Neurospora crassa OR74A: one gene and its partner. The protein of the gene in region 2 purifies or fractionates together with the protein of the main gene of each other region. This does not show direct contact. Links are inferred from orthologs where the notes say so. Each region holds a gene or a part of one and is shown on either strand. Other genes may lie near its edges.

The links.
Region 1: the proteins of NCU02675 (region 2) and NCU07393 purify together in Saccharomyces cerevisiae (affinity purification with mass spectrometry, with the first as the bait; 3 studies listed by BioGRID). This does not show direct contact. The link is inferred for Neurospora crassa OR74A from reciprocal best matches to the Saccharomyces cerevisiae genes RCL1 and NOP14.

Annotation. Positions count from the first base shown.
Region 1 is NC_026501.1:6,082,283-6,093,896, reverse strand, and holds NCU07393 (rRNA maturation protein), read right to left. Parts: upstream 6,202-11,614; 5' UTR 6,099-6,201; coding exon 5,799-6,098; intron 5,740-5,798; coding exon 5,293-5,739; intron 5,235-5,292; coding exon 3,246-5,234; 3' UTR 1,499-3,245; downstream 1-1,498. Other genes in the region: NCU07394 (hypothetical protein), read left to right, coding at 6,928-7,300, 7,354-7,991; NCU07395 (DNA-binding protein SMUBP-2), read left to right, coding at 8,542-9,092, 9,253-10,597, 10,837-11,057, 11,150-11,243. UniProt on the Saccharomyces cerevisiae protein: Involved in nucleolar processing of pre-18S ribosomal RNA. Has a role in the nuclear export of 40S pre-ribosomal subunit to the cytoplasm.
Region 2 is NC_026501.1:3,160,426-3,171,299, forward strand, and holds NCU02675 (RNA-3'-phosphate cyclase), read left to right. Parts: upstream 1-5,290; 5' UTR 5,291-5,490; coding exon 5,491-6,711; 3' UTR 6,712-6,806; downstream 6,807-10,874. Other genes in the region: NCU02674 (hypothetical protein), read right to left, coding at 2,387-4,888; NCU02676 (hypothetical protein), read right to left, coding at 6,839-7,643, 7,729-8,045; arg-3 (carbamoyl-phosphate synthase large subunit), read left to right, coding at 10,413-10,752, 10,851-10,874. UniProt on the Saccharomyces cerevisiae protein: Does not have cyclase activity. Plays a role in 40S-ribosomal-subunit biogenesis in the early pre-rRNA processing steps at sites A0, A1 and A2 that are required for proper maturation of the 18S RNA. RCL1 activates BMS1 by promoting GDP/GTP exchange.

The DNA of each region.
Region 1 (11,614 bases), about 2.9 Mb from region 2:
TCCTATCTACTAGATACATACTGCACGCACCCGCATCCCAAACATTCGTGGGGGAAGAAGTACTTCACAAGGAACAAGCTGAGCCCGTGGATGGCATCTCCCACTTTCCTTGCAAACAGCTGTTTCGTTGCAACTTCCTTGTCAGTCTTCTCGGCTGTGCCGTTGAGGTGCAGTCTTTGCATGCTGTAATGCGAAGATGGGAAGGAACGAAGCTCCTAGTTGTCACTTCATCTTGAGTGGTATTTCGTCTTTGTGCCTTCCACCTACCTGTCTCTGCTAAAGGGTCGATTTGGCCGAGGTTCTGATTTCAGCGATAATTTGGCTTGGTTTAGGTTGTGATGGCTTCAAGCAATATCTACTATCAGCAATATTATCACCATCATCAACCTGGATCATAAGTGACACCTGCAGCGAAAACCGGATTGAAGACTACCTCTACATGCCAAAACCGTCCTATTTGAAAATCATGAGGGCTGGCAGCAGACCAAGCAACATGCATCCTCGTCCGTGTGGACAACAATCACTACTAACCTTTCCAGTCATTACCTCTTCTCTTATGTTCCTGGACAATCAAGTCAAAAGACCAAGACCCCCTGGATTTGCGCCTCCCGCTTTGCCCTCCCGTCCATACGGACGGCACGGCACCACACAGCTAAAGTTTAGAATACTGTAGCGCAGTCAATCCTCACCCCGCTTTTACCCTTCAAGCGAAACGTTCACCAGTCAGCTAAATAACTGACGACCATTCACTGAGCCAGGAAACACAGGAGCTGGACGGCTGAGCATCTCGCTACCGGATTCTATATGGTATGGTCGATCCCAGCCGCATCCATACTAGTTTTGCAGATGCTGTCTACTTCCAACCGCTCGAAAATTGACACTTCACAGCCTCAAGGTCACAGACTCGAAGCGGCGAGACAAGGACAGTGAGGTTTTGTTGAACTGGATTATAAGAGGTTGCACGCCGCCGCACGGTAGGAGAAGCATGGTGGCGGTCATAATTCGCCCGGCAATCGCCCTACTAGTGGTACGGTTCCCGACTCCCGTTGAGTATCCGCGCCTCACTCTGCCGCTAATGGCTTCGCCGTTGACTGCAAGCCAGGGATTGGTTAAGCTGGTCGATCCCAGCTTGGTTGGATATATGTAGAGGCGCAGCAGCAGTAGCAGCAGCCGTCTGTCTATTCGGTCAACAAGAGAGTTGACAATGTCTGATAGCATGAACGTGAGGTGAGGCTGGAACGACATGTCATTAACTGTTCAGCTCAACAGGTCGCAGAAGGCATGATTTCCACCCATATCTGTCCATCTACCTCATTGTGGAAAAATATCGTGGAGTTTTTTGTGTTTCTGGCTCAGCCTTGACCACTCGTCGTTTTCGGATCGTGAATGGCTTCCAACTCGTTAGGATCTCATGGCCACATTGTCTTTCTTTGGCCACTTCCGTTTCCACCCAGTCCCCTCCCCTTTGCCCAAACATTTCGGTCAATGATGTGGGGGCGATTTTTGTTGATACGCGGAAATGGGCACGTTTAGATGTTTCGAAACCCACTAGGTAACTAGTAAACTCACCACGTCAAAACAACACTGCACACAGCCTCAATCTTCCACAGCCCGGCGACCCGCTTTTGAGACCTACTATGCTCTCGGAAAAGGGAGCCGAAAAGTGAACCCTGATGGGATTTCTAGTAGGAAAGAATACATCGTTTTGACAAAGTATCATGTGAGTGACTGCCGAGGAAGAGCCTCATCAGGAGGCCTCTGGGGTGATCATATCCACATGCGCCTCTAAGCGCGCGCTTGAAGAGGCTGTGTATGAGAATACAGTTGGAGTGGACCAGACATATCTGTCTTTTTGGGGGCCGTATCTGTGAGGGCGCCTAGGCTGGAACGGAGTCGAATTGGCTTTTTGATGTGTTATGGGATTTTTTTTCTTGTTTTTCTTTTGTTTTCATTACTTCACCTCCTTCTTCGAGCTTTGACACATGATCGTGGTGATAGTTAGAGGCAGCCAACTGAAACAGCAAGCCGAAATCATCGGTCCTGAACAGCGGGATCACCGATAGTCATCCATGGCTTCAAAGATGCGATCGATGTCAAGATCGCAATGACACATGTCGCCTTGACATCCATTCTTCCAGCCTTCGATCAACTGAGAGGTGCGTGAGGCTCATTTTGCGGCCGCCGGAAACCTGGAGCTGGGGAGACACGGGGACCCTCATAGACGACGGGACGGGAATCTTGATCTTACTCGGAACCAACCGATCGACCCAACTACCAACTGGAGCGGAATCTAGGTCATCAGCTTATGATTCTCTTTGCCTCTTCCCCTCAGAAGAAAAGGCGCGTGCTATTGAGAATGTAGCAAAGGAAAGAGAGAAGAATGAAAAGAGTCGTAGAGTGCCCGACTTCCCCGATGAACACAACACCATCGTCTACGGCGCCTATAGCGTCTAGAAACCACCACAAAGAGATGTGGATTGTCTTTGAAAGTTTACAAAGTTCAGACTGGGCAAAATACATACTGATCAAGCATCCGCCCGGGACCTGAGTACCTGGGAAATACTTTCTCGCCGATTTCGCTGGTTAGGGGTTTTCGGGGTCCAGTGATATTGTTATACGATAACGTGCGGCGGTTGTTAGTTGTTTAGGTCGCTTATATATTGTTCGTAAGTCGTAACTAACTATGTAGTTAGTCGTTGGGCCAGCGCTGGAGGTACAGTATGGGTGGCACGAGGGGGGGAAGTGATTGAAGAACGGCATTGTTTGAATTATAGCCGCGGGACGGACACGCCGACCGAAGGGCAACTCCATACTGCTGTGTTTCCTTGTCTTCAGTCATTTTCTTGTTATTTGTTGTTTGCTTTTTCTTTTCTTTTTCTTCAGATGAGGCTCCGCCATCAATAGCGATAACCGGAATTACATAGTTTCGTTGAAGTGTTGAAAGTTCCAGGTAGGGATGAGTACCATGATGAAATTGGTGGGTTGGGTAAACATCACATGTAAACAACATCAGGAGTAGATAATGTACGTACTGAGGGTTGGCAAATGATGAAATGATCTTAAAACTCCTACTAGTAGATGATATGATAGACATGGTATCTCCAACCCATGATCCAAATATTGCACTTGCACTGAACGCTGATGATGATGTATACATGACAGCAACAACAACGGCACTAACAACAACACGGCCAACCACAAACTTACTCCGACTGCTACCCCCGAACCTTCTAAGAAGTAGCCATTTACCTCTTGTTCTTCTTGAGCCTCGCCGCCTTCTCCCTTGCGTACTCGTTCGCCGCCTGGCCTTCCGATCCCTGGATCTCCGCCACCAAGCGCTTGTACTTCTTCTCGTACGCCTCGTCCTTGGCCTTCTTGACCTTGAGGTTCTCGCGCTGCATGAAGGCCGCGTCCTTGCGGAGCTCCCTGAGTGCGCCCTTGCGCTCCTTCTTGTGTTCGGCCCGCAGCTTGGCCAGCTCGGCGCGCTCGCGGTCTGGGTCGTAGTGCTTGTTGGGGTCAAACGAATCCTCAAACTTGGGCACGTACGTCTTAATGGCGAGCGGCTTGTGGTGGTGCAGCTCGAGTGGCCTGCGGGAAACCTGGGCGAGCTGGAGGAGGCGGGAGATGCTTGTCGTTGCGTCCTTAAGCTGCTTGACGAGGGCTGCAGGGAGCTGGGCGGCGTTGGACTTGGTTGTCAGGTGTTGGAGCACGCGCTGGGCGGGCTGGAAGGTCTCGTAGAATGCGGGGAGTTTGCACCATGTTTCGGAAGCAGTCCTGAGAACGGAGGTGATGGTGCTGATAATGGCAACCTTCAGAGCGGAGTCGTCGCTGGTGGAGCGAGCGCTCTTGGGCTGCTGGCAGTCACCGCAGTTGAGCTTCCTGACGGTCACCTTGCTTGCACCCTTGACACGGATGCCAGCAGCGGGCTCGTGAACGGGGAACAGACCAAGCTTTTCCTTGGGCTTCTCAGCAGCGAGCGAGCAGAGAGTGTTGAGGCAGAAGTTGACAAATTCTGGTACGTAACGCTTGGAGAAGGATTGGTACTGAAGGGCGAGGATCGAAAGGTAAGCACCAATGGAGTAGTCGGCGAGTGTCTGGGGAATTTTCTGTCCCAAATAACGGGTGATGGAAAGCATCGCAGGGGTGACCACCTGATGGAAGTGATCAGAAGTAGGGTAGGTTGTGCCAATCGCTGTCAGAAGCATAAGGTCGCCGACGCTAAGGGCAAGGGGCCGATCCTCCTTAATCTCCTCAAGCCGTGACCTGTAAGCCTTGGATATCTCGATCGGGAAGGTCTTCGCGAGTGAGTGGACGTGGCGGATCAAGTTCTCAATGGTAGGGAACCAGGTGGGCTCGAAGTTGTCGCCAAGGTAAGCGATATGCTCGATGAGGGCCCGGGAGAAGTTTCCAAGGCGCTCCTTGTTCTTCGCGTCCAGCTTGGGGTGGTAAAGAGCTCTGATCCTCTGGACAGCCACTGGAAGTTTGGCCACGGGAAGGCTGCCCAAGATCTCCAGCAGCTGCTCGTGACTCTCGGGACATGTAAAGGTATAGGGTATGCCGTCCTCGTCGCCGCCTTTTGACTGAGCTTGAAGTTTTGTGGCCACCTCCTTCGACTCGCCGTCCTCACCACCATTCACAAGCTCGTCCTCATCAGGATCATAGGCATCCTCGTCATCACTCCCGTCCATGTCCGACATGTCGTCCTCGTCCATATCCAACTCAGAGCCGCTTGCGATAAGGTCGTCTTCGAGCAAGAAATCGTCTTCGTCGTCCAGACCCATCTCGGTGGCGGTCATTCGTAGCTTGATACCCTTGCCGAGGCCGAATTCGTCCTCGTCGGCCTCGTCTTGTACCTCTTGGTCGTCTCCCTTCTTCCTGCCCTTCTTCTGCTCCTCCTCCTCCTCCTCCTCGTCATCCGAGACGATCTCACCCCGCATGCGCCTGAGTCGCTTTTCCTCCATCTCTTTGAGACGCTTAACTCCTTCCTCCGCCTTCTCCTCGTCGGTCTTTGTCCTGTCGGTAACCTCGGCCCTGGCTTCACGCGCTGCCTGCTTGAGACGCATGTTGTATTCCTTCTCAAGTTGGTCCATGTCGATTCCTGCCATAACGGAGGGGCCCTTGGGGTCCTTCGTTTCCTTCGGTCTCATCTGGAAGAGTAGGGACTGCAATTCTGGGAGTTCCTTGTCAAGTTCCACTCTTAGATCGTCGTCCTCCTCCTTGGCTGCTTGTCGTTCCTGTAGCAATTACTGTTAGCTGATGAGTGGAAGTAGCCGGCTTAGCGGTGCCCCTTACGTATTTGAAGGCCTTTGACTTGGCGATAACCTCCTCCATAACTTCCTTCTTCGTCTTCTTCCTCTCCGGTTGTCCATCCTCTCCTTCACCTTCCGCGGCCTCTTCCTCAGCGCGCAGGCGCTTGAGGAACTTCTTTCTGGCTGACCGCTCATCGTCGGATTCCATATCGGAAACGTCCTCGTCAAAATCGTCACGACCCGCCTCAATGTCGTCGTCGTCAAAGAGAGTCTTGCCAGCGTGTGTAAGGGTGACCTGTTCTTGCTCGTCATCGGAACCCTCCAAATCGAAGACGGTGTTCTTCTTGTGGCTCTTCATCTGCTCGCGCGCGAAACGTTCCATCATCTTGTCCTCCAGGGTCATGTTGGGGTCGTCCTCGCCAAAACGCCTATCGACAATGCCGCCGACCTTGTTGCGCCTCTGCATTTCAACCAGTAGAGTTTCCCGTCGCTGTTTATGGCACAGTTAGCATCAGAACCAGTAAATCGATCTGAGTGGGATCGACAAACCCTCTGCTCAGCGGTGGCCTTCGCAACGCCGGGGCGGCCCTGAATGCCCTTGGCGAGTTTATCATTTTGGGGCTTGTTGGTGGTGACCTCGAACTTGGGTCCTCTGGCGTTGGTCTTGAACTGGAAGGGGTTGAACTGCTCTCTGATGCTGGCGAGAGCTTCGTGGCGCTGGAGTCGCTTGTCGGTGGAAGCCTTCGCGTCCTGGGCGTTTTGGCGCTTTTGCTTCTTGGATCTCTGGGGACCGATGATGCCTTGGTCCTTGAGGGAGGCCTTCAGCCTCTTGAGCTGAGACCCGGCCATGTTTGTTGAGATGTCTCGACTGTCGACTTGACAGGGGAGTATTGAGAAAGAAAGAGGGAGGGAGGGCGTCGCGAAGCGGGTTCGATCGCAAGACCAGCAATCAATAGGTTGTCTTTGGCGGTTGGTTCCTTCTCAGAAATTTTGGTGATGAAGGGTGCTTATCTTATCGTCATGCTCCACCTCTAAAATCTTGGCAGTTACCTACCTACATACAAGTAGTATTGTCCACAGGCGCGGGCAGCAGAAGCATCCTGGCCTGCCCGTGCTGCACTGTAGCTGCTAAAAGACGAAGCTCTACGGGCGATGCTATCCAGGTCCCAAAAACTTACCCTTTTAAGGAAGTGCACAGACTTCTTTTGTTCTCAAGACATGTCACTCGACCAAATGTGCTCTGCAACCCAGGATGCAGCATTTCACCCAAAAAGCCCCCTTTTGGGCCAGCTGAGTTGCGAAAAGGAGTTTCCCAGCAGTATTTGACTTGCAAAGATAAAAGAATTCCCAATTTTCTTGGTGGAGGATCCAAAAAGTTGAATGTATTGTTAAGTACAAAGGTCTTGGGATACATGCTTGACTAAATGCTTAGGGTGGGAAATTTGGGACCTGGATAGACTGTCCCGCTCTACAGCGGGTGTCACTCCACTGACCAGAAGTGAAGCTCTCCATCGTCATCCTCGGGCTGCTCATGGTTTTTTTATTTTTTTATTTTTGGTTTTTTTCAGTGTTCCGTCTCAATCTCAAAGTCGCGATGTGATGAAAAGAAAAAGAAAACAACACATAAAAGTCAAACTACCTATGCTGAAGCATCATCTTTCATCACCATACCGTTATTATGGGCTGGCAATCGTCGGTTCTCCGAGATGAGAGGGTCGTCTTCACCGGCATTGGCTTCGTCACGGCGAGCTTGATCATCTTCGCCATGAACACCTGGCTAACAAGATGGCGAGACGAGACCATTGTCACCCCCAATCCGCCAAAGACGCAGTACATCACGCAGCAGACCGAGGACTCGCTCGAGCTCAAGACGCTGGACACCTTGCTGGGCCACTACAACTACGCCATCAAGGAGACGGCTGCCAAGATAATCTGTGATAGGGCTGCAAATGACCCCGGCCTCCTGGAGACGTTGCTCTGGGGCATCACCCGTCCAGATTATGACGAGCGTGTCAAGAACTTGAGGGCTCTGGCTGTCATCTGCGTCCCTCGTGAGTATCTCAACACTGCTTGAAAGTTTCCAACTCACTAACACGGCTTCAAGGAGTTCTCCCCATGCTTCACACTTGGAAAGCATACTCCGCCATAGTCCGGTGCCTCGAGCTCTCCCTCGACCCGGAGCAGGAGGTTCTCGAGAATGATGGATGGGACGATTATCCATTGAGGGATATCACCGAAAAAATGTGCTTCATCTTTCTTGAGCAGCTGGTCGATCATTACGGGCCAGAGATGCTGATCCGCTCCAAGTTCGTTGAGCGTTGGCTATCCAGGCAAAATTGGGGCAGGACTGAGGAAGACAGACAGCGCAACTTCCACAACTATATGCTGTACAGGGACAACAAGATCAAGAGGCTTGCGGATGCGGTGCGCAAAACTGGATCGGGAAGGTCGGTGCTGGTCAGATGTGGTCTCATGTCCCAAGAGGGGGCTGACGACTTCGCGGCTGAGCAGGCCGATAACCTGAACCTCATGGACACAAGCGGCGAGCGCTATAACCTCCTGCTCTCTATTAACATGGGTAGGACCCCGCGGGCGCAGGAGACGAGCGCCGAGGAGCAGCGGATTAGACATCGGAATCGCGAGGCTATTGTGGTGAACGATGGGACTAGGCCGATTGGCAGGGACGATATTATTCACCGTGACACGGAATGGCGGGTTTTGGGAGAGCCTGGTCAGTCTTAGAGGAGCGGCTCAGTAACTACTACAGGAATTGTTACCATCGCTTTGTGCTTTGTTCTGTGTTAGGAATACGGGGACGCATAAGGAAGATCAAAATGAGAATAAGAAAGATTGAGTTTGGTTGAGTAGCAATTGTATTAATCATCCAGAATGACCTTTGTTTTGGCGGATATGAAGGTGTTTGCTCTCTTACAAAACGAATAATACACGGTTAGATGCATCGTTGGGTTCAATCGTTAACAGTTCGCGAGCAACTCCACCAAAATCACTAACAAGAAAGGAACAATACGTCAAGACAACAAACCACTGCAATATGCTCACATGAATTTTGCGATTCAATTGAACCAAACCGCAACCTGAACTGTGGGCTTTGCGCCTTTTCCAACGATCACACGTCTAGCATAATACACCATCACCCGCCAAACGACGCACAGAGTCACTGTAACCGAACGGCGGCGCGGCCTTCTGTCATTTCCACAGTCCCTTCTCCCGGCCCCGCTCGTGTCCGGATTTCAAGAGCCTCACCACTCTTTCCATCCACCCACTCACCAGCATGGCTCCCTCACAGACAGTCGACATCCCCTCCTTCGCCTCCACCCAACTCACCCTCCTCTCCTCCGAGCTCGCCGCCGAAATCGCTGAGAACTCCGAGCTCATCGGGCTGCACACGCCCACCGCCCTGCAGCGCGCCGGCCTGGCCCTGACCAACCTAGTCGTCAATGCCCAGCGGACCGGCTATGGCGGAAAGACCGTGTTGGAACTCGGGCCCGATTCTGCTACTGTTACTATCACTTCTTCTTCTTCTTCTTCATCGTCAGGCCAGAAGGGTGGGGGCTATGATGGACCGGAATTACCAGAACATGGAATTCGGACGGGCGATATCGTGGTAGTGTCTGAGCAGCCGGCTGGGAGCGCAAAGAAGCGAGAGGTCAGGGAATTGGAGAAGAAGGGCGCGAAGGGGGTGGTGACGAGGGTGGGCAGGGGTGTGGTGGGTGTGGCGCTGGATGAGGATAAGGGGGAGGAGAATGTAGTTGGGACGGGGGGTTTGGGGGGCAGTGGGAGGGTTTGGATGGTTAAGTTGGCTGATGATGTTACTTATAGGAGGTGAGCTTTCGATGATTTGATGCGAGAGTGAGAGTTGGGGAGAGGAGGTCGATTCGGGTTGGTGGATGATGAGAGGAAAGCCAAAAAAGAGAACAGAGGCTGGGGGAACAGGAATTTGATGGTGATTACAGTCAAACCTCAGCTAACACGGTGATTGCAGGATGAACGGAACCATGGAGAAGCTTCAGAAGATGAGCGAGTCGGAACACTCCATGTTCATCCGAGTCCTCTTCGGACAGTCATCACCCTCACCTGTCCCGGCGGATCTAACTAATGACCCAGAGGTTGGCAACATTGATTGGGTTGATCCTACTTTGAACGACTCACAAAAGGATGCTATTAGGTTTGCACTAGCATCGAGGGAGATAGCTCTCATCCATGGTCCTCCCGGGGTATGTTTATACGTTCCCTCCCCGCAGTCAGTCGCTTATATGTCTAATCCACCATTACAGACTGGCAAAACACACACTCTGATCGAACTAATCCTCCAACTCCTCCGCCGAGACCTCCGTATCCTCGTCTGCGGTCCCTCCAACATCTCCGTCGACAACATCGTCGAGCGACTCTCGCCACACAAACTGCCCATCCTCCGCCTCGGCCATCCAGCCCGCCTTCTCCCCTCCGTCCTCTCGCACTCGCTCGACATTCTCACCACGACCTCGGACGCCGGGGCCATCGTCAAAGACGTGCGCGCCGAGATGGACGCCAAGCAGGCCTCGATCCGCAAGACGCGCAATGGTCGCGAGCGCCGAGCCATCTACGCAGAGCTGAAGGAGCTGCGCAAGGAGTACCGTGAGCGGGAGCGGCGATGCGTGAGCGACCTGGTAGGCAGGAGCAAAGTTGTGCTGGCGACACTGCATGGCGCGGGGGGATACCAGCTTAAGAACGAGGAGTTTGACGTGGTGATCATCGACGAGGCAAGCCAAGCACTGGAGGCACAGTGTTGGGTGCCCCTGCTGTGGGCGAAGAAGGCGGTGTTGGCTGGTGATCACTTGCAGCTGCCGCCGACAATCAAATCGTTGAACTCGAGGGCTGCCACTACAAAGGAGAAGAAGGAGGGCCAGACGCTGGAGACGACACTGTTTGACAGACTACTGACCCTGCATGGCCCCTCAATCAAGAGGATGCTTACCACGCAGTACCGTATGCACGAGAAGATTATGCGGTTCCCGTCGGACGAGCTTTACGAGTCTAAGCTGGTGGCGGCCGAGCATGTCAGGGAGCGCTTGCTCAAGGACTTGCCGTACGAGGGGGTGGAGGCCAATGACGACACCACCGAGCCACTGATTTTCATTGATACACAGGGCGGTGACTTCCCGGAGAAGAACGAGGAGGAGCTGGACGGTAACGGATCAACAGACAAAAAGAAGGTCATTAGAAGTCTTCATGGCGAGAGTAAAAGCAATGAGATGGAGGCGGCGCTTGTAAGACAGCATGTGCGTGGCCTGATCAAGGCGGGAGTCAGACCGGATGACATTGCGGTTGTGACGCCGTATAATGCTCAGGTAAGTTTTTTTTTTTTCTCCCCCTCTTTGATCGTATTCATTCTTGGTGCTCCTGCCTGTTCCCTTTCCCTACTTGGTTCCTTTTTTTTTTTGGGAGGAAGAAAAGAAATGCCTACCCTGGCAGCCCGTATGCTTTGCATGAAACAACGTGTTGTGTGCACCCATGCCACGACATGGAAAAACACATTACACGGCCTTGACAACTGACCAACTCTTCTTTTGTGCTTGCGTGATCACAGCTCTCCATCCTGGCACCCCTAAAGGACGAGTTTCCCGGTATTGAGCTCGGCAGTGTGGACGGATTCCAAGGAAGAGAGAAGGAGGCAGTTATCGTTAGCCTTGTCCGCAGCAACGACGAAGGCGAAGTCGGTTTCTTGGGCGAGAAACGACGGCTGAACGTTGCCATGACGCGGCCGAAGAGGTCGTTGACAGTCATTGGAGACTCGGAGACAGTCAAGAAGTAAGTGGAAATGACAAGACATGAAGGACTTTTACAACATACATCATTCTCTACCTTGGCTTGATGACTGACTCGACCCTTTGTTACAACAGGGGCAGCACATTTCTGAAGAGATGGATGGAGTTTTTGGAAGAGAATGCCGACTTGAGGTATCCAGACGTTTCGAGCTTGGCGTTGGATTCATGACAATGACACAACGTGTATAAGCAAGGGACGCAGCCGCGGGTAAAAGAGCTCAGGTCAGGCACCAGGTACGAAATCCACAGACATGGAAAGGGGACGAGTAAAAATGCTTCTTAGAGGAACGGCCCGATAAACGCTTCGACGGAAACAGCATGTTTGCCGCACCTGGATGGACTTTTGGCATTACTTTTTTTTCAGGACAGGCACCTGTACCTGGGCAGTAGAATATCATGATGCTACACGCGACATAAGCAAAAAGAGTCATGGAATCTAGGCAGACGAATCGAGTTAGCGAGATGCGCTCACGGCCTGCCACGTATTGGGAAGCCGAAACGGGCAAAGGCAGGAGGCTCTTTTTGGACACCTCAGCTTAA
Region 2 (10,874 bases):
GTTGTCGTCGTCGACTGGTGCTTGCATACAGCCGACCGGCCCATGCATCCATACATGCATGCATACAAAAAATTTGGAATCGCGGTGAGCAGAATTTGCCCTGCAAGTACATACCCAGATCACTGTGTGATGTAGGCCTATCTCTCTGCCCCGGCAGGCAGGCAGGCCGTACGAACGTTACCGGATCCAGACTACGCAGTATAAGCACCGTATCGTCCATCGTCGTCGTTTGGTCTCGTGGAGTCGTGGAAGATTGCCATACCTCTACTCCCCACTTCTCGCGTTCCTGGGTACTATTCCCTACCAACCAGATGATGGTAGATGGGGTTTGTGATGCGGTGTTCTATATGTACTACTTCGGCCTTGCTCGTTCGAAACTTTCAAAGCGGCGTAACATTTGATGTACCTGGTCTTGCTGAAGATGGGATGATATCGACGGTGAGAACGATGAGCGATGATGATGACGACGACGACGACGACGACGCCGGTAACAATAATCACAAAAGATTAAGTCCGACGACCTACCTAAGCCCGGCAATGTTTCTCCATGCTTCAACTCGAAGGAAATGCTTTCTCAATTGTTCTTCATCCTTCATATCACATGCTTCATACCCTCGCCCCCCCACTCTTGTTTCTCCCTTTCTCCTCATCCCGACCCATATTCTGTTCTGTTGCCTTATGCTATTCCATGTTATGTTATGCCTATTTTCATGTCATGTTATGTGTGTTATGCCCTGTCCAGGAACCCTCCGTAATCCATTTTTACCCCATCCCGCCGCCAATCATCATTTCACCAAAGAAGAGACTTGCCTGGACTCCTACCCAAAGAATCGGTACAGTACATACAGATGGAACCGCGGAACCGCGGCCTTGCCTAACCTTGGAGAGGAAGTCCCGAGCACCACCAGTCACCACAACAAGTTAGATACATACTACAACACTACGCATCTTTTGAGGGTTCAAAGCGGAGTTTTCGGAGTTCCCGGGGACCTGGGTCAACAAGTGGGCGATGGGCGGTGGGCGCGCGCGCGCGCGCCCTGGTTTCCTATGGTAGTATTTAGTGTCTGGGTAGCATACCCTGGGGCTAGATGTTCCACGCGACCAGGGCCAAAATTTCTCGCTTGACCTACGGTGTCGACTCGGGCGAAAAGAAAAAGAAAAAAAAAGAAAAGAAGAAAAAAAATCCCACGGTGAGACCTGGATGGATGGATGGATGGATGGATGGACCCCGAGGAAGATGAAATGGAACGTTCGGAAAGCTTGGCCACGTGATTGTTGTGGCCTGGCCGCCTGACTTTTTGAGACGGCCTAGCTTCTCCCCGAGAGAACTCAACGGTGAACTGGGCGGTGGACGGATATCCGAGAGGGAGTGTAGTGTAGTGTAGGGTAGTGTATACCCTGCAGAGATGTGGTCCCGTGATAGACTGGGTAATTTGCTGTGTGGACAAGGCGGTACAGGCAAAACAGGACAAGATGAACACGGAGCATTGAGAGCATGAGTGAGTGGTGACTAGGTAGATAGCGAGATCCATCCATGAGGGCTCTATGCAAATTAGAGCCACATATGTACTACATTGTGGCCCTTGATGTTGTATTGACTTCTTTGAGGGGGAGTATGGTGGTCTCGAGAGATAGGTGTGGCAATCAGAAAGACTCTAGTGGCTGACAGTCTGGAGCATACACTCTGAGAGTCGATATTGCCTGTATCAGAATTGAATTTGCCTAGGCTTTACGAGTCAGTGCAATATATGGGTTGTGTGGTTACATGTGTTCTATAGAGCCGTTATATAGGAAGGTGAAGGGGGGAAACGCGACATGAAGAGTGAGTTGATCAAGTCCTTTCAGAAAAGAATAGCTAGAGAGTGGAAAGACTTTTTTCACCTCAAGACACACAAAGAGTGTGGTTGATTCGGCTGAGAGTATTCAATCCTCGAAGCGAATGCTCAATCCAATATACAACTTATCTTGTTCAGCCATAGATGATTAGGGTCAAGCTGGAAGATAGAAAAGTGAGAAAAGGGCACAGAGGTGATATCAAGATATAGACACATGAAGGTGACAACTCGTCAATCACTTCAGATCTCTACTTCCATTCAGTGACCATTTCCATACTCAACAGGTGATAACTACTTACAGGTCACGAATCATTGACTATCACAACCGAGTGTTCAGTATTTGTGATATATCCAAGATTGACAATGATTAGAACAAGGGACAAACTCGCAACTGGGTGACATCAGTTCTATGCCATCCTCGTGCTGAGCACATCAGATAGCCGGTGGCCGCCATATGTTCAATGATACTGAGGGTATCCAATGAAGCGATGAGTGCTTTCGGGGGTTTTACATTTTGCTTGTGTTACATTGTATTGTACAAGTGACCATCTTCAGTCGACATCATCTTCAACATCCTTATTTTTCATCACCTTCCTGTACCTCCGAATCACCGCCGGATCCCTCGTAAACACAATATCAAATACGCCCATCTCTTCAGCGGCTTGGGCAAGGATATTATTCACCGCACTCCTCTCCGCGTTTTGAGCATGCGCCTTGACCAAGACCAGCTCTTCAAAGACGGCACAAAGCTGGTTGTCCTTCTCCTGCGTCGTCATCTTGGCAGGGTCGCCTCCAAGGTCGGCGAAAACTTGCGTGTGTTTTCGGATCAAGCTTTCTATCAGTCTGCTGGCTTCCATGATGCGGTCCATGTTGCGCTTGCTCTGTACCCGAAGAGTAGCGGTTCCCGCCGCCAGCTCGATGAGCAGCTGCTCGGGCGGCGAGTAGCTGAACAGCTCCTTCATGGTTCGGGCAGCGACAATCATGCCGGCATGATCCTTGGCCTTGAGCATGGAGAAGAGAACGGTACGGGGGAGGTACGTATACTCGTCAACCGAGTCGAATTTCCAATCCATCTTGACCAGGTCCTGAAAGAACTGCCGGCCAATGACGGCGTCATCTGCCGTCAATTTGTTGTCTCGCCTCACCACGCGGTTCACTGAAAGAGTATTGTAAAGAGCGATGAAGGTGTGTGCATCAGGACGCACGTGCCGTTTCTTGGTCATTTGCTCGTAGAAATCGATGGCCTCTTGCGGCCCCTTGCTCTCGGTATACGACTTGATGATCTGGTTTATCATGAAGCTGTTGGGGCCAAGTTCTGCCAGCTCGAACGCTGTCCACAGTTCCTCGAGCTCATCGTGCAGGCCACGAGCGCTGTAATTCTCGGCAAGAAGAGAAAATGTTTCGACTGTAGCTCTTGTGGTGCAAATGTAATCATCCGATGTTGGTTCTCCGTCACGGGGTACGAGCCGAATTGGCCGGTCCATCGCGGCGGCTCTCCGACGCAGGTCGACGAAGTCCAGACGGGCTTTGATCATGGCCCAAGCCAACTGGTCAGCCTTCTCTACGTTATCAGCAGTTTCTGTCCTGAGCCAAGCGCCTACCAGGCCGTTGAGCTGGATGGGCGAGGCGGCAACTCCCTTTTTTTGTAGGAACGTAACCACTTTGTAGGCTCCGTCGAGGTCTCCTGCTCCTATTAGCCTCTTCAGCCATTTGCCGAGGAAGAAGTGGTTGCCGACGATGGTCGGTAGTCTGGTCTTGCCGCGAATATCCATGGGACCCGAGAACATCATGTCGACAAAGGCCTGCAGCGCATGTTCGATGTGATTTACCGCCAAAAAGCAAGCGATAACTTCATCGTAGTCCTCGATCTGCATGGTGTCTCCGAGAAGCGCTCGCATATCCCTGTACACTTCCCACGCTTCCTCGACGTTTTCCTCCTTTGCTGCCAAAGCCCGGACGATGGGTATCATGATGCGCGGGTTAGGCGATTCTGAGGACTTGAGAAGAGTATCCGCAGCTCTCATCGCGCGGTCGGTATCTCCGTGGAGACTGCACATGCGTACTCCCAGCTCATAGTACCCTTTGAATGTTTCTGGTTTGGAGCCGATGGTGACCACGGCTTTCTTCCACGCTTCGATAGCCTCCTCTTGCCAGCCTTCGAGAAACATGGCCTCAATCGCAAGAAGCTGTTGCGAGTCTCTCAGCACCACCCCCGCAGCTTGCATGTCCTTCGCCAAAACGTAGATGTGATGCATCCGGTTCGGATTTTCTACGCCTTCCCCTTCGTGTGACAAAATCATCCACAGAAAATCCCACACCTCGCGCGGCACGTTGGTCCATTGGGTGGCTAATGAACTGCGTGCTGCAGAGTAGTACTTCCAGCAGTCGAACAGGTCTTTCGGCTTGGGGACGCCGCCCTTGACGACGCTGTCGCGCGCAAGGAAGGAGTTCAAGTTGGCTACGGCTCGCTGCCGCACTCCGCTGAAGCCTGGAATGCGCAGTACGCCGTATGACTCGCCTTCTGGACCCGTCTTGCCCTTGTATTTCTCCCTGAGAATCTTTTTGAACTGTTTTCGTAGCTCCTCAGCCTTGTCCTGTTCGGAACCCCCGACCTTCTCCAGGCTATCGAGCATTTGTATTGTCTGGACCATTTTCTGCTCCAAGTCGTTAATGGCCTCGGAAATCTCGCTATCGATGCCGCCACTAACGGCGCCAAACTCGGCACCGTCGCGCAGCTGTCGGTATTGCCCTTCGGTCTCTTCGTTGAAGTAGTTGACCGCAAGGGGTTCGGTTGGACCTTCGTCGGTGTCGGTGGGTTCTCCCTTCTGCGCCTCCCGTAGGAGGGCTTCTTGGAACCTCTGTGCTTGCTCTTCCTCCAGCTGCTTAGTCGTCGTTGGCGCACGTTGTCTGCGAGCGGCGCGGGCCGCACTCGAAGCGTTTCTCGTCAGCCATGGCTGTGGATTTGGGCGGGCTCGTCCTATGCTAGCGATGCATGACTGGCAAACATAGCTGCTTGTTCGACTCAATTCAAGCGCAAATGCTCGGGGAGGCATCGGTGGTTGTTTCGTGTGTCGGGTGGGCTATGGCAGTGTGCTGTAAAGAATGAAGAAAATCATGAGGAGCAATGAAAGAGTTGGAGATGTGGAAGCCAGGTAGAACTGCGGAGGTAGAAGGATTGTGGTGAACTGGAACTTGAAGGTGTGTTCGTCAACTTTTCGTGATGGCGAGAAGCCGGCAACACTTTGTCCTACAGCAGCACGTCCTGGAAGGAACAGCGGCCATCATCGCCCCACCATGCGCTTGCTGCCGCTGTGACTTTTTCTTATCACGCCCCTGCAGTTCCTTATCGACGCGCAGCTCCTGTCGAATAAGTCTTAGGTACCATTTCACCGCCCGGCAGAAACAGCGGGATCCTCCAAAAATTCTGGAGAAAAGCGAATTGGAACGGGGAGACCTGCAGCGCTCGCAAAGGAGCTTTCCAATTCAGAATCATTCGCCATTAAAACCGCGACATACCCATTCATCCATCACCGACGACCACTGCCCGACGAGTTGGGGCGCGATCGCCTACGAAGAATTCAAAAGACTAGGAAATTACACTTTCACACGACTGAGCCCAGGACAGCGTGAAACCAACGACCTGACAACCGCCACCATGTCGGGCGAGAAAACCGACTTCATTCGCTTTACGGGGCACCGCGCCTTCACGCACCGGATCGTTCTCTCGACCCTTACCGGCCGCCCAGTGCACATTTCCAAGATCCGCAGCAGCTCGGCCACACATCCAGGTCTTGCGCCCCACGAAGTCTCCTTCCTGCGCCTTATCGAGGCCATCACCAACGGCTCCGTCATCGATGTCTCGTATTCGGGCACCACCATTACATACCAGCCCGGTTTGATCACCGGCACGGTCGCGGGCGTCAACGCCGGCGCCGTTGGCGACGTAGTCGAGCACACCCTGCCCGCCAACAACACGCGCGGCATCACCTACTTCCTCCTCCCGCTTGCCCTACTCGCGCCCTTCTCCAAAGCCCACATGAACGTCCGCTTCACTGGCCCCGGCGTCATCACCTCGGCCACCCACCTGACCGGCGACATTTCGGTTGACTCCTTTCGCACGGCCGTGCTCCCGTTGTATGGAATGTTCGGCATCCCGCCAGCGCGCATCGAGCTGCGCGTGCTCTCGCGCTCTTGTTCCGGCCCCGGCGGCCGTGGCGGTGGCGGCGTGGTCGAGCTTCGCTTCGCCAGTCAGGTTCGCCTGCCCAAGACACTGCATCTGAATCGGCGCCCCGGCAGGATACGGCGGATTCGCGGCGTGGCGTATTGCACGGGCGTGTCGGCCAGCCACAACAACCGCATGATCACGGCGGCGCGCGGCGTGCTCAACCAGCTGGTCTCGGACGTGCACGTGGCCGCGCAGTACGACCCGGCGCCGCTGGTCGGCGACAAGAGTGGTGCCAAGAAGAAGATCGGTATCGGTTTTGGCCTCAGCTTGGTGGCGGAGTCGAGCGCGGACGGCGTGCTTTACTCGGCTGATGTGGTAGCGCCGCCCGAGGGTGGTGTCGTGCCCGAGGATATAGGCGCAAGGTGCGCGTACCAGCTGCTGGAGGTTATCGCACAGGGAGGTTGCGTCAGTAACGTATCGGCACCGACCTTGCTTACACTGATGGCAATGGGATCGGAGGATGTGGGTCGCCTCAGGTTAGGCAGGGAAGTATTGGCTAGGGAGGAGACAATAGGGCTAGCACGAGACTTGAAGAAATTCGGAGCGGCCAGCTGGGGCATAAGGGATGTCGACGATGACGGTGAGACGACTGATCTAGTAGTCTCGGTCAAGGGTACGGGCGTTGGTAATGTGGGAAGGAAGGTAGCGTAAAGAATTATAAACCGGATGCTTTCTTTTTTGTTGCATGTTCAAGCTCTGTTAGGTCATACTTTTGCTGTATCAAATTCGCTTTCGTGGGTCTCGGCACTAAGTATTAGTGTGTACAAATGCTTTTCCATCATATCCCCCGTCTGGCCGCTCTATTCGTAATCCCAGCAATTCCTCTAACTCCCCGGTTGCCAGCAACGGCGGCCGCATGGAAACCAATGCTTTGGACCGTGTAAGCCGCAGCCGTCTGGTAGTCATTCCCTACCGTACGTATGGCGTGTACCGGATGAAAGCTACCCACACTGGCATTGCCTGACCTCATCACGTCAAACAAGTCTATGCCGGCAGATGCTGGAGAATAGTTGGACCCCAGCCGCTGTTCATCATCCTGCCCCTGACCGCCACGGCTTTCTGCCACCAGGCGGTCTGTTTCGGTCCCTTCTCCATCGCCTAGAGCCATCTCATCTTCCCTATTCACGCCCCGTTCTTCCGCATCCAAAGTCTGGGAAGTCTCCGGCTGGCGCACGCCGTCGCTACCTGATGCCCCCGTCTGCTGTCCAACCTGACCGGGACCAGCCCAGAGAGGTTGTAAGGAGGGATTCACAACCTTGCGCAGCTTCTCCCGCTCCGTATGGATAGCCAACATCAAGCACTGGATAGCCAGTATCACCGCATCGAAGAACAAAGGACCTAGCCTCGTCGTTGGTGGCTTCTGCCCAACGAAGTCGACTATCACGCCCCCGTGTAGATACCCGCGCGTCGCTTCGCCGGCGACTGGTGGTGCAGAGATGATGTGTGCAAGGATGCATATCAAATTCGGTCCGAGGATGGCAAAGACATGGGGACGTTCGGCCGGTAGAAGGACGGGACCCTCTTTCGGGGTAATGAACATGAAGTGTGGAATGATGCGTACGAATAGACGGAGAAAGGAACATCTGTGATGCGAAGAGACATTGAGGTCATTCGTTAGTCATTGGCTATGTTATGCAAAGGATCTAAAGGAAGTGGCTGCTATCGTACTCCATATAGTATAATGTGCAGAGATAGGCAAAGTAGATCATGTCGAGATTTCTCTGCAGGTGGCTCATGAACTGTAGCTTCTTCTTCAGGCCCAATTTGCGCTTCTCCTCCCGTGACGTCTGGTCATCATCATCATCATTATCATCATGAGCGCTGCCGTTCAGCTCCGTGGACCGCTCGTGGTTGTCATTGCGCCGGCTGCCATCCTCGTTTGCATTGTGTGGCGGGATGTGCTGCTGCTGCTGCTGCTGCTGCTGCTGCTGCTGCTCCTGCTCCTGCTGCCGGGCCGCGAAGCTCGGCTCGGAATCATCGTTCATAGCTCGCCGTGGTTTGAGAGGAAGGGTGATCGTTGGCGCATTCAAGAGCTGTGGGTAATAAAAGCTTTCAGCGGCTGTTTGAGCCTCACATATCTGGGTCTATGATTGATTGACGTCAAGGGGGGCCGGCAAACAGAATGTTCATCGAGTAGTAGAAAGCAAATGTGATGATCACGAAGGCGGCAACGAGATGGAGAATGCGCGATGCATTTCACTTCGATGGGCAGCTGTCATCAAGGTCGCCAAGGATGTGCGTGGTGCTGTAGCCTGCCACTGAGGTGCCCCTGCCTCAGCTGTCAGCGACTCAGCGTCACAACAAATGAAGGGACCACAACAGCGAAGGGGAGGGTTGGAGGGGATGCACGCAGCGGCCTGTGCTCATTGGCATGCCAAGACCGACCAGCTGGCTGAGTTCCGGTCCCCGCTGTCGGCCGGGCTTGGGCCGGTGCCGTGGCTTTCGTTCGCCGGAATCCACGCACTTGAGCCCGGAAGCCGCGGGCGGAGGAGGACGGGCCTGGACTCCCATGGTGCAACCGTGAACCTGAGTGGGGGTTACCCCCGCTCCATCAGAGCCCCGGCCTGGGCGCTTGGGGTGACAGACTTGACATCATGGGTGTCTCCAGAAAGGGGAATGTGAAATTTGGTTTGGAGATGGACATTCGCAGTCGATGTCCAGTTTTGTATCTGAGTCACAGCTCAGGATGGACAGTACATAGTGTTCTTCCAATGAGAGGTCTCGACTTACACAAGTGGAAGCTCAAGGGTCTGCCAGGAACCACACTTCCAAACTCCATGTGCGCCCATCCCCCATGTTCATTCACGGCGTGAGTGAAGAAGGAATAAGCTTGCGGATTCTGGAATACTAGTAGTACACCATAGGCCCCCGAAGTACTGTGAGATCATAGGATGGGGTGAGTAATTTGACTTGTGAGCTAGCAGAGCTGATATTAGTGTAGTAAGGTTCCAGTGCTACAGCCGTCGAAACCCGGTCCATGAGTCAAAGTCGCAGGCGGCTTTACTGGCATTGGGAATACAGCGAAGGATCTGAGCTCTTTCGGGAGCAGGCGGATTTGAGCTCTTTCGGGAGCTGGCCGAGGAGAAAATGTCAAGAGGTCAGCATCGGCGAGGCGCTTCGAATTGACTCAGCCGCATGGACACGTCAAAAGCGAGAGATTGATTTTGAAGATCACCAACAAGACCGGCATCGAGGCGTCAACTATCGCCGAATAGACTGGGGCCGCGATGACTCAGCCAATCATGAAACGCGTGAATTTCCTCTCCCCGCCAAAAAGTCGCAGCTCGAAGGGCAATTGGCCAATAACATGTCAGTTACGGCCAATTCAGCCAGTTTCACCGCCAAGGTACATAGTAGTCAAAAATTTGGCGGGGTTTGGGCGTCCAAAAGACAAACCAAACTCGGAGGTTGGAGGTCGTGGGTACCTACTAACCATTGACTCGGTACTAGCCGTCTCCAGTGCCGTCCCGGGAGCTTGTGCCTGTTTTGGGGCCATGGCGTGCATGAGCGAACATCGGACAAACGCTCAACCGACTTCAGATGACACATAGAGCCTGGGGAATAGTAGTGATGTTGTTAGATAGACCGCGCCCGACATGTTGTTATTTTGGCAGGCAAAGTGGCTAGGTAACGAGAAAGTCTCAAGTCTGCCACAAGACACTGATCTAGGATCGCCAGTAGGTGAGCTTAAAATCGGATAAGAATGGGAGGGGGATCTGGCAAGATGCGATGACTGCCCATGCGAGCATCGCAGATCCATGTACATATGCCAGTCAGGTCCCGCACTTCTCGACCGCAGAGGATTCCGGGTCCGCTTCCGTTGTCGGAAGCTACCCAAGCTGGCCCGCGGCCTATCTTGAAAATTTTCCAACAATCCGTCGTCACTTGTTCCCAACCCGCCAGTGCCCGCCATTGCCCCCGGCAAAGGGTGGCGGATGCGCAGAAGAGCGACTCCATTCAGGGCCTCATCGTCGATTGTTCTGTTTGGTGAAAGAGCAAAAGAGTCACAGCCGCCCACCAACAAATCTGGAACCCACCCTGCCGCCGGCCCCGCACATCTCTTATCGGCGCTCCCCACAGCGGCCGGTTTTGGGAATTATTTGTCTCTCTTGTCCCTCTTTCCGTCCAACTTCTCCAGTTTCTTCTCCACTGAAATTAAAAGCGCGAAATTCCGAAAACACGGACGGGAGACTCGAGATTGAGTCAACTGGTCAGGATCCGGGGTCAACAGCTACGTCGTTGTCAGGACTTGTTTGTTGATATACAAGACATCGGCCCCCCGAGACCCTCACGAGGCCTTTCTTGGTCTTTCTTTAATTTTCTTCCACAAACACCTCCCTCCATTGGACATAATGCTGTCGACCGTGCACAAGGCTGGCCGAGCTCCTGCTCTCCTCCGCCATGGTCGGCGGGTTCCCGTCCAGGCGTCCCAATTGAGGGCTCTCACCTCCGGCGCCCAGAATACCTCCATCTTCCAGACACAGGCCAACGCCGCCCAGAGGCTGTCCTCCCAGAAGAGGTGGCTCTCTGCCTCCGCTGCCGCGGCTGCTGCCAGCCAGCCCGCCCCCGACGCGAAGGCTTATATCCAGAGCGGCGTTGTCAAGCCCCGCGACCATGTCGACGTCAAGAAGGTGCTTGTCATCGGCTCCGGTGGTCTTGCCATTGGCCAGGCCGGCGAGTTTGACTACTCCGGTACGTCTAATGTCTTGTCGACTCAGTGAAACCAGACACAAAACAAACAAACAAATAAACAAACAAACAGCAGTGCTGACTCTACTCTACCCATCCAGGTTCTCAGGCGCTCAAGGCCCTTA